Neurospora crassa OR74A: one gene and its partner. The main gene of each other region encodes a partner of the protein of the gene in region 2 in a complex. Links are inferred from orthologs where the notes say so. Each region holds a gene or a part of one and is shown on either strand. Other genes may lie near its edges.

What was found.
Region 1: the proteins of NCU03526 (region 2) and NCU04302 are in contact, whole or in part, in a crystal structure (PDB 3ONG), measured with the Saccharomyces cerevisiae proteins. The link is inferred for Neurospora crassa OR74A from reciprocal best matches to the Saccharomyces cerevisiae genes UBA2 and UBC9. Residues at the interface, in NP_010678.3 of Saccharomyces cerevisiae: Asp474, Ser476, Leu478, Gln483, Arg484, Leu485, Leu486, Asp488, Tyr489, Asp490, Phe491, Asp493, Leu494, Leu511, Ser513, Glu515, Glu516, Gly517; in NP_010219.1 of Saccharomyces cerevisiae: Met1, Leu6, Gln10, Glu11, Arg13, Lys14, Arg17, Lys30, Asp33, Gly34, Ser35, Met36, Leu38.

Annotation. Positions count from the first base shown.
Region 1 is NC_026505.1:5,554,526-5,558,129, reverse strand, and holds NCU04302 (ubiquitin-conjugating enzyme E), read right to left. Parts: upstream 1,975-3,604; 5' UTR 1,475-1,974; coding exon 1,440-1,474; intron 1,369-1,439; coding exon 1,208-1,368; intron 1,135-1,207; coding exon 1,111-1,134; intron 1,038-1,110; coding exon 784-1,037; 3' UTR 533-783; downstream 1-532. Other genes in the region: pex19 (peroxin), read left to right, coding at 2,801-3,094, 3,153-3,604. UniProt on the Saccharomyces cerevisiae protein: E2 ubiquitin-like--protein ligase mediating SUMO/Smt3 attachment to septins and PCNA. Seems to be involved in degradation of S- (CLB5) and M-phase cyclins (CLB2).
Region 2 is NC_026502.1:356,962-361,556, forward strand, and holds the start of NCU03526 (ubiquitin-activating enzyme E1 3), read left to right. Parts: upstream 1-1,579; 5' UTR 1,580-1,850; coding exon 1,851-1,997; intron 1,998-2,200; exon of another isoform or gene 2,201-2,259; coding exon 2,260-3,679; intron 3,680-3,751; coding exon 3,752-3,836; intron 3,837-3,883; coding exon 3,884-4,220; 3' UTR 4,221-4,376; coding exon of another isoform or gene 4,377-4,525; 3' UTR 4,526-4,595. Other genes in the region: NCU03527 (hypothetical protein), read right to left, coding at 1-374, 519-1,131; oar1 (3-oxoacyl-[acyl-carrier-protein]-reductase), read right to left, coding at 4,377-4,525. UniProt on the Saccharomyces cerevisiae protein: The dimeric enzyme acts as a SMT3 E1 ligase. It mediates ATP-dependent activation of SMT3 and formation of a thioester with a conserved cysteine residue on AOS1.

The DNA of each region.
Region 1 (3,604 bases), on a different chromosome or scaffold from region 2:
AATATTTTCATCACAGTGTGCCGGCAGATTTTGTGCCAGCTGCACAGGCTGACAAGTCCTTCCAGCTCTCCAACGTCATTGTGTCAACGGCATAAAGTCCAACTCCCTTACAAACCTTAAGTGGGGAGAAGGGGGGGGGCGGGGGGGGGGGGGGGGGACGACGGGTACCCCAGGTTTCTCCGCAAGCGGAGCGTGGCTTGCAACCTTGCCGTGAGGTTAAAAACTTCTTGACAAACTGAAGACACAGATAAAGCTAGTGATAAATCCTGTACGGAGTATCTGACTGAGACTCTGTAAACTGGGTGCCCGATATTCTAGGTTTTCCGGACGTGAACTTCCCGTGAAATAACTTTTTGCTATCTTTTCTTGAAACGCATACCTCTCCCGCCTTGGTCGAATCATCTGCGATTGAAGATGACTCTTGAGGGTTCATCCCACTGATTCCACTACTCCCCGGCCGAACTCGACCGTGAGTTTGGTAGAAGGGAGATCTAGGTCCGAGACAGCAAGTATTGAGCACAAAAGTTGGGGGAAACGGACTGATGCATCGGGCGCAGCGTCGGTAATTTTTTTTATTTTTCTTAGACTCTTGTTCCTCGATCATGAGTATATAGAGCAGCCCGAAAATTGAATCGTGCGCAGGATCGCTATCAATGAATGAACTCCCTCCAAATGCCGCCACAAACAATGAATTGGTATCCCTAAACTCCGTGTCCCAGGTCCAGCAAAACAGAACTGCTCTCTCTTTTTCACCAAGCACCCTCACATTCGTGGGTTCCCAATCTATGGGGCGGCATTCTCCCGCACGACGCGCTTGATCCGACGTTCATATTCCTGACGATCTTTCTTGAAGAGATTGTACGCCTCAGCCTGGGCTGGGGACTCGGGATTGGGGTCATTGAGCAAGTCCTGGATGCCGAGCAGGATCTGCTTCATCGTGATGGCCGGCTTCCATGCCTCTTCTTCGTTGAGGATCGAGAGACAGACCGTGCCTGATGGGTAGACATTGGGGTGGAAAAGAGGGGGGACGAATTTGCCTGCTCAGACGCCAACATGTTAGCCATGTGATCGTAGCAAGGGGGGATGGACGAGGGCTAGCTTTCGGCGTACACTTGGGGGGTTTCGTGGGATATTCTGCATGCAGGAAACGTCAAGTCAGCACGTGTATTCTTCTGACTAAAGACACCGACCGGTGCAGGGCGCATACCATCAGGGAACGTGACGGTCAACTTGAACAGACCACCCTCCCAGATTGTCTTTTCTTTGCCCGGAATACCACATTCCCAAATCTTCAAGTCGAGCACACCCTGCTGGTTCTTCTGGGGACGGGCATAGAAGCCAAAGGGATGGTCCTTTCGCCACTGCTTCCTAGAGGGAGAGAATAAGATTGTCAGTCTGCTGGACGTAGGTACACTGTTGCGCAATGCTTTGCGGCGTACCGTTCCTCTTGCAAGCGGTTCTGGCACAGCGCCATGGTGGTTGACGAGGTTGACGTTGACGGGGTTTGGCGTCGGTAAAAGTTGAGCGGTGGCTGATCAACGTGGGATTCGAGTGATCCCTTGGACAAACTGAATGCGACGACGATTCAACTTCGACGGCCGGCTTCTTGCTAATGCAATGACGGCGCCGAGAAACGTGGGGATGCGGCTGAAGAGCTGCTCGGGTTGGTCACGGGGGGGATGGGCGCGGATCAGAAGGTGGAGTGTGGGAAGGTCCTCTGCAGGTAAGAGATCCAATCCTATGGGCCACGCGATATGTAGCAGCGTGGAGTATGTACTGCGTAGTAGCCCCGCAAGGTGAGAGGTGAAGGTGATTTGGGGTTTGTAAGGCCAAAAAAGAAAAGATGAGGGTTCGAATATCTGGAGTATATGCGGGGAATGATGCGCAATCCGAATGGAACTATGTAACGAAGTGTTTCCTGGGAAGGGAACCGACTGTGACTGATGTGGTAGACTTCGAATCCTAACGAGGCTGGAGGGAAGTTTCAGTTTGCAACGAAGTGACAGCAAATCGAATGGCAGGCGACACGCTCATTCAGTTATTGCCTGCCGGGCTCGGAGTTCCTGTCGCCTCGAATCAGGAAGGCGGAGAGTGGGTGAAGTGAATGGCATGGAAGCTCTCCTCTGCTTAACTTGTACTCCGAAGCTTGTCAACGGCATTTCACATACAGTAAATGGCCCATTTCAGTGACAGCGTGTAGGCTCCAAAATGAGCTTGATCCGCAGTCACACTAGCATCAGAAGATGGGATGACAGCGAGATGCCTGTTAGTATGGACTTTAAGTGCTCAAGCAACCTGATCAAGGAATATTGTCTGAAGCTGGAGGTGGTGTCCCTCGGCACACAGCGTACCCCGGTGGGCAATGGTGGGGTAACCGCCCTGTTCAAGCAGAGATGCGGGAAAGCGCCATGAGGAGTGAGCCGAATTGCACATGCAAAGGAAAACCCCCTCGTCATCTGAACCCTTCTGGATGTCAATCTCCATCTGACTTCTCTCCCTTCCATGTTTTCTTCCACTGATCACCCTTTCTTTGAAGGTTTTGGTTCGCTATACAATTCTGGATTTGCCTATCCCAGAGAGATTTTGTATACTCTCTTGATAGACCACTCCGCCTTGCATTAGCTTGGTTTCTACCTCAAACAGACAACTTCCCGCTTTTACCTCTCTCAAAGAGGTCGTGCTTCAGCGTGGGGTCAACCTTTTGCCCGAGCATCTGCTTCGTCTGTCGGAACGAGGCGCATCCACGACCGATCGACGTCTTTGCGATTTACACAACATTCTTACACACTCATACCGCACAATGGCTTCGAATAACGCCGGCGCAAAGGAGGAGGTGCCCAGGAAGGCCACCGTGGCCGACGAGTTCGACGATGACGTGTCCGACCCGGATGAGGATGACCTGGATGACCTGGATGACATGCTCGATGAGTTCGCCGCAGTAGACCTTCAAGCCAAGAAGCCTTCGGGGCCAGCAAGGCCAGACGCCGCTGGGGCAGATGGTGCCAAGGGGGAAGATGATGTCCTGTCCGAAGAGGAGTTTGCGAAGCAGCTGCAGGCCGGCATGGCTGATCTCCTCGGTGACATCGAGAACTCGGTAGGCGCAAACAATCGCAATATCCCAATTTCTGCGGCTCTAGCTAACTCTGAGCCAGCCTGAGCTACAAGCCCAGTTCGAGAGCATATTCAAGGAGCTAGGCGCCGCCGCCGCTGCCTCGGGTGCCGAAACACCTGGTATTCCCACCCCAAAGGCCGAGACTTCGACCAAGACTCCTCCGTCTTCTTCCCGCAGAGCCTCGGCCGCGGCCTCACCATCGAGCAAGAATGCCGAAGCTTCCTTTCAAGAGACCATCCGACGGACCATGGAGCGCATGCAGACATCTGGCGAGCAGGCCACGGCCGCTGCCGCAGCTGAGGGTTCCGATGATTTCCTTGCTGAGCTGCTCAAGCAGATGCAGTCGGGTGGCCTTGACGGCGAGGGCAGCGAAGAGGAGTTCAGCAAAATGCTTATGGGAATGATGGAGCAGCTCACACACAAGGACATTCTGTATGAACCTATGAAGGAACTGCACGAGAAGTTCCCGGGCTGGCTGGAGAAGAACCGCGC
Region 2 (4,595 bases):
GTCAATGTCCGCAAAGGATCCATAGCTTTGGCCTTCGAAACAGGCCCACAAGTCAGCGACAAAGATTTGTGCGCGCTTGAGGATGCGGATGGGTTGGCGCCGGCCGGGGTAGGGGTGGATGTCAGCGAAGCAAGGGAAATCGGAGGCAAGGAGGTTGACGAGGGCTGCGGCTGAACCGTTTGCTTCGTCGATGAGGTCCAGGACAGAACCATCGTATTTCTCGTGGAGGACTTGGCCGGCTTCACGGAGACAGTCGAATCGTTCTTGGAGGAGGGGGATCTCCTCGTCTGTGGCGGACCGGAAGACGGTGCGGAGGACGTCCGGGGTGAATTTTTCGTCATTGATCCAGAATGCGGGATCGGTGATGGGGATTCCTGGACGAGAAGATTCAAAAAACAAGTGTCAATGAAGGGTTCCTTTGTATTTCTTTGCTTTGTTACATAACTATGATACAACTCCAACAGCATCTTCCTCAGTAGTAGCAAAAAAAAACTTCAAGAACAAGAAAGACCACAAACCTTCCTCTAACCCCCGCTGCAACGCCGCCACCAAACTCCAGTACCCCGTCCACCTCTTTCCTCTGTACTCCACCTGGAACCGGTCTTCCTCGCTCTTCTCGCTCCAAAACGAAAAGTTGAGCAGATCCATGGTGAAGATGAACTTGACCGTCTCCTCGTTCTTCTCCTTGGGGTGGAGCGCGTGCGTCGACCAAGTGGCGGGCGAGTACTCCCGCTGCTGCATCTGGTCCCAGATGGTGTTGGCGGCCTTTTTGCACCCGCGCATGTCTAGGGCCACGTCAATGGCGTGGTTGTAGACGAACTCGGCAGACTCCAAAACGCCCGTCTCGGCGGCGGTGTGGGAGGACTGGTTGCCGTTGAGGTGTTGACGCAGGAGCTCGAGGAGCTCGGGGTCGGGTTGGTCTTCGTCGGAGGAGTATGACATTTTTCGATTCACGGGGGTGGTGGTGGTGTGGATGGGACGAGAGAGAGAAATGGGTGAAGGGAGGTGAGGAAATAATAGAGGGACTGAAAGGAAACGAGTGATGTGTTGGGATTTTGAAGAAAAGGGTTGAAGAGGAGGTCTGAGGAAGGGGGTCAGGGCGGAGGGAGTGGGAAAACGGAAAGGTTGCATTTTGAGAGTTTGGTTGGCACTGACACTGACTGTCGAGGGGGCAAGGTTAACCCTGAGATGGGTTGACTGATTTCTAGAATACGATATCCTAAGCTCGAGGGGAAAACAAACGGTCAATTTTACGGTGAGAGATATGATATCCTCGATATCGTCTTGCTCACCCTACTGTGTCGTTTTTCCATTCTCTCCAACCATTCAGAATCAGACCAGCCAATCTTTCATTGTCTGCATGATGTTCCTCTGTTGACTTGTTCAGGGTTATGTATGGGTGGACCCCCCCACCGCAACACAAAAACACAAAGTGGTTGCAGCTTGCAGCAGGGCGACCAATAAGACGCGGCACTTGCGTTGCCGTGTGCCTGCCGGTCGAAGGATCGTCTATGGCCAACCCCGGAATCGGTTTTAGCGTGTCGCTGGAGTTATGACGCGCTACCACCCAGCAAGTGCTGAAGTCTTGACCTGGAAGGAACTCCGGTCTGCCTGTCGCCGATTCAGCGCCTGGTGGTTGCAACTTTTGACTGCCTTCAGTTTGCATCCACGAGGCTGAACTTTTTCAATTTCCGCTTCAATTTTCTTCACCTCTTTCTGCCCTGGGCTTCATCTTGTCCTGGGTATACAGTGACCGCCCGCTCAACGTGAAATAATACTACCCCCCGAACCACCTTCAAGCCTGGTCGCACCTCTTGCTCCTCGGGCGCAAGCCTCCTCAAAATCTCGCCATGGATCCCGCAATGGGCAATCCCATGGTCCCCATGACGGCGCAAATACCAGCACCAGTTGCCCAGCCTATTCCCTTGCCGGTGTTGACGCGGGACAGCTACAATTCGCAATCATTAGGGCGGTCTTTGAATGCAAATGTCAAGCAGGTACGTGCCTTCATTCATCCCAAGTCGTCTCCTCGGCAACAAATGAAGGCCTCCCAATGCTGTCGCAATCCCCGTCGCAACTGGCATCGCTCGGATTGCTATAGAACTTCATTACGAACGCCCCTCCAATTCCAAATCTACGCTTCCTTCCTGCCTTCGTCGCGCCACAACCACCATCATGACTTCCCAGTTGACTGCCGAAGCGGTTCTCGCGCTAGCTCCCGCAGAAACCCCCGAGACTCTGCTAACGACCACCTCACAGGCGCGCGTGCTCATGGTAGGCGCCGGCGGCATCGGCTGCGAACTCCTCAAGAACCTCGTCCTTACCGGCTTCGGTGAAGTCCACGTCGTCGATCTCGACACCATCGATCTCTCCAACCTCAACCGCCAGTTTCTCTTTCGTCACGAACATATCAAAAAATCAAAGGCACTTGTAGCCAAGGAGGCTGCGCAAAAGTTCAACCCCGCCGTTAAGATTGTCGCCCACCATGCGAACATCAAAGATGCGCAGTTCAATATCGAGTGGTTCAGCAGTTTCCGGATAGTCTTCAACGCGCTCGACAACCTCGAAGCCCGTCGCCATGTCAACAAGATGTGTCTTGCCGCCGACGTCCCCCTCATCGAAAGTGGAACAACCGGCTTCAACGGCCAGGTACAAGTCATCAAAAAGGGTGTCACAGCCTGCTACGATTGCGCGCCCAAGGAGACGCCAAAGTCATTCCCCGTATGCACGATTCGCAGTACACCGAGCCAGCCTATTCACTGTATAGTGTGGGGCAAGAGCTACTTGCTCAACGAGATTTTCGGAGCGAGCGAAGACGAGTCAGCATTCGATCATACTGTTGATGGTGATAATGCGCAGGAGATCGAGGAGCTCAAACGCGAGTCGGCGGCGCTACGAAAGATCAGGAATTCTGTGGGTACAGAAGAGTTCGCGCAGATGCTTTTCGAAAAGGTATTCAAGACGGATATCGAGCGGTTGCGCTCAATGGAGGACATGTGGAAGACGCGCAAGCCGCCTGAGCCACTCAACTACAAGGAACTCCTCGATAAGGCCAAGTCGCTCGACAAGGACAAGGTTTTGAAGGATGCTCAGAAGGTGTGGTCGCTGGAAGAGAACCTCGTCGTCTTCAATGACAGTCTCGAGCGACTTAGCAAGAGGGTTCTGGAGAACAAGAGCGCCGGTGAAGAATCCATCATCACCTTTGACAAGGACGATGAGGATACCCTGGACTTTGTCGCCGCGAGTGCCAACATTCGCTCAGCGGTGTTCGGTATTGACAGAAAGTCAAAGTTCGACATTAAGCAGATGGCTGGCAACATTATCCCTGCCATTGCGACAACGAACGCCATCGTCGCCGGTCTTTGCGTGCTGGAGGCATTCAAGGTCCTGAAGGGCCACTACGAGCAGGCCAAGGAGGTTTTCCTTACGCCGTTTGCTAATGCACGTATGTTGGCGTCCGACAAGTCACGGGAGCCTAACCCTGATTGCCCGGTCTGCGGTGTTTACCAGACGAGAGCGTATGTCGATTTGGAGAAGGCGACGTTGAACGATTTGGTAGAACACTTGATCAAGACGAATCTGGGGTATGGCGAGAAGGATTTCGCTATTAGTAACGAGGTTGGCATTCTGTACGACCCGGATGAGACGGATAATCTGGAGAAGAAGCTTTCGGAGCTGGGTATGTTTTGCTACTCAGATTACAGTGGAAGCTGCTACCCATATCGCAATGGAAATTGCTAACATCGTACAGGCATCAAATCCGATTCATTCCTGACCATCACCGACGAAGACGATGAGGAACCTTTCGTTAACGTCGTCGTTGCCATCCAAGAAGCGTACGTCCCCATTTTCTCTCCCATGTTCGTAACTAACACCCTCAAAGCAAGGAGCCTCTGGGTGACAAGCCAGTCAAGGGCATTCTCGACCCAGAGGACGTCAAGATCCCACTCAAGCCCAAGAAGCAGTCACAGCCTGAGCCAGTGGCTACGCCGACAGCTGCCACCAACGGTGCCAGCATATCCAACGGCCAGAACGGAGGAGTAATAAACCTTGATGGCGATGAGCCAATGACGACACCAGCCAAGTCGCTCAAGCGCGGCCACCCCGAAGACGCAGAGGGTCCATCGGTCAAGAAGATCAAGGCCAACGACAAGGCGGCGGATGACGATATCGTCTTTATCGAGGATAGTGCGGGAGCTATCGTGATTGATGATGACTGATCTTCCATCACCCCTTTGCCGTGTCTTGTGCGCGGTTCATTATTGCTACCGTAGGCCGTAGTTATGGTCGGTATATACTATGATTACCACATGGCTTGCTTGCTATTCTTGCTATACCTACTAGCCACAGATACCCACGGGAAGCGGTGTGTCGTTTCAGACAGCACTTAACCCTCCATCAAGATTAAGTACGCAGTTGTTTGCATACGGGTTCTTGATAAGGAACAGGGCAGCGTCGGCGACTTCATCTGTTGTTCCGAAGCGGCCTAGGGGAATTTGTTGGAGAATGGAAGGGTTTTTGAGACCTAGATGAGATGAAGAGGTCAGTCGGGTATTCAGGTGCGATGATCTTGAAGGACTAGGTAGTCAGATGAG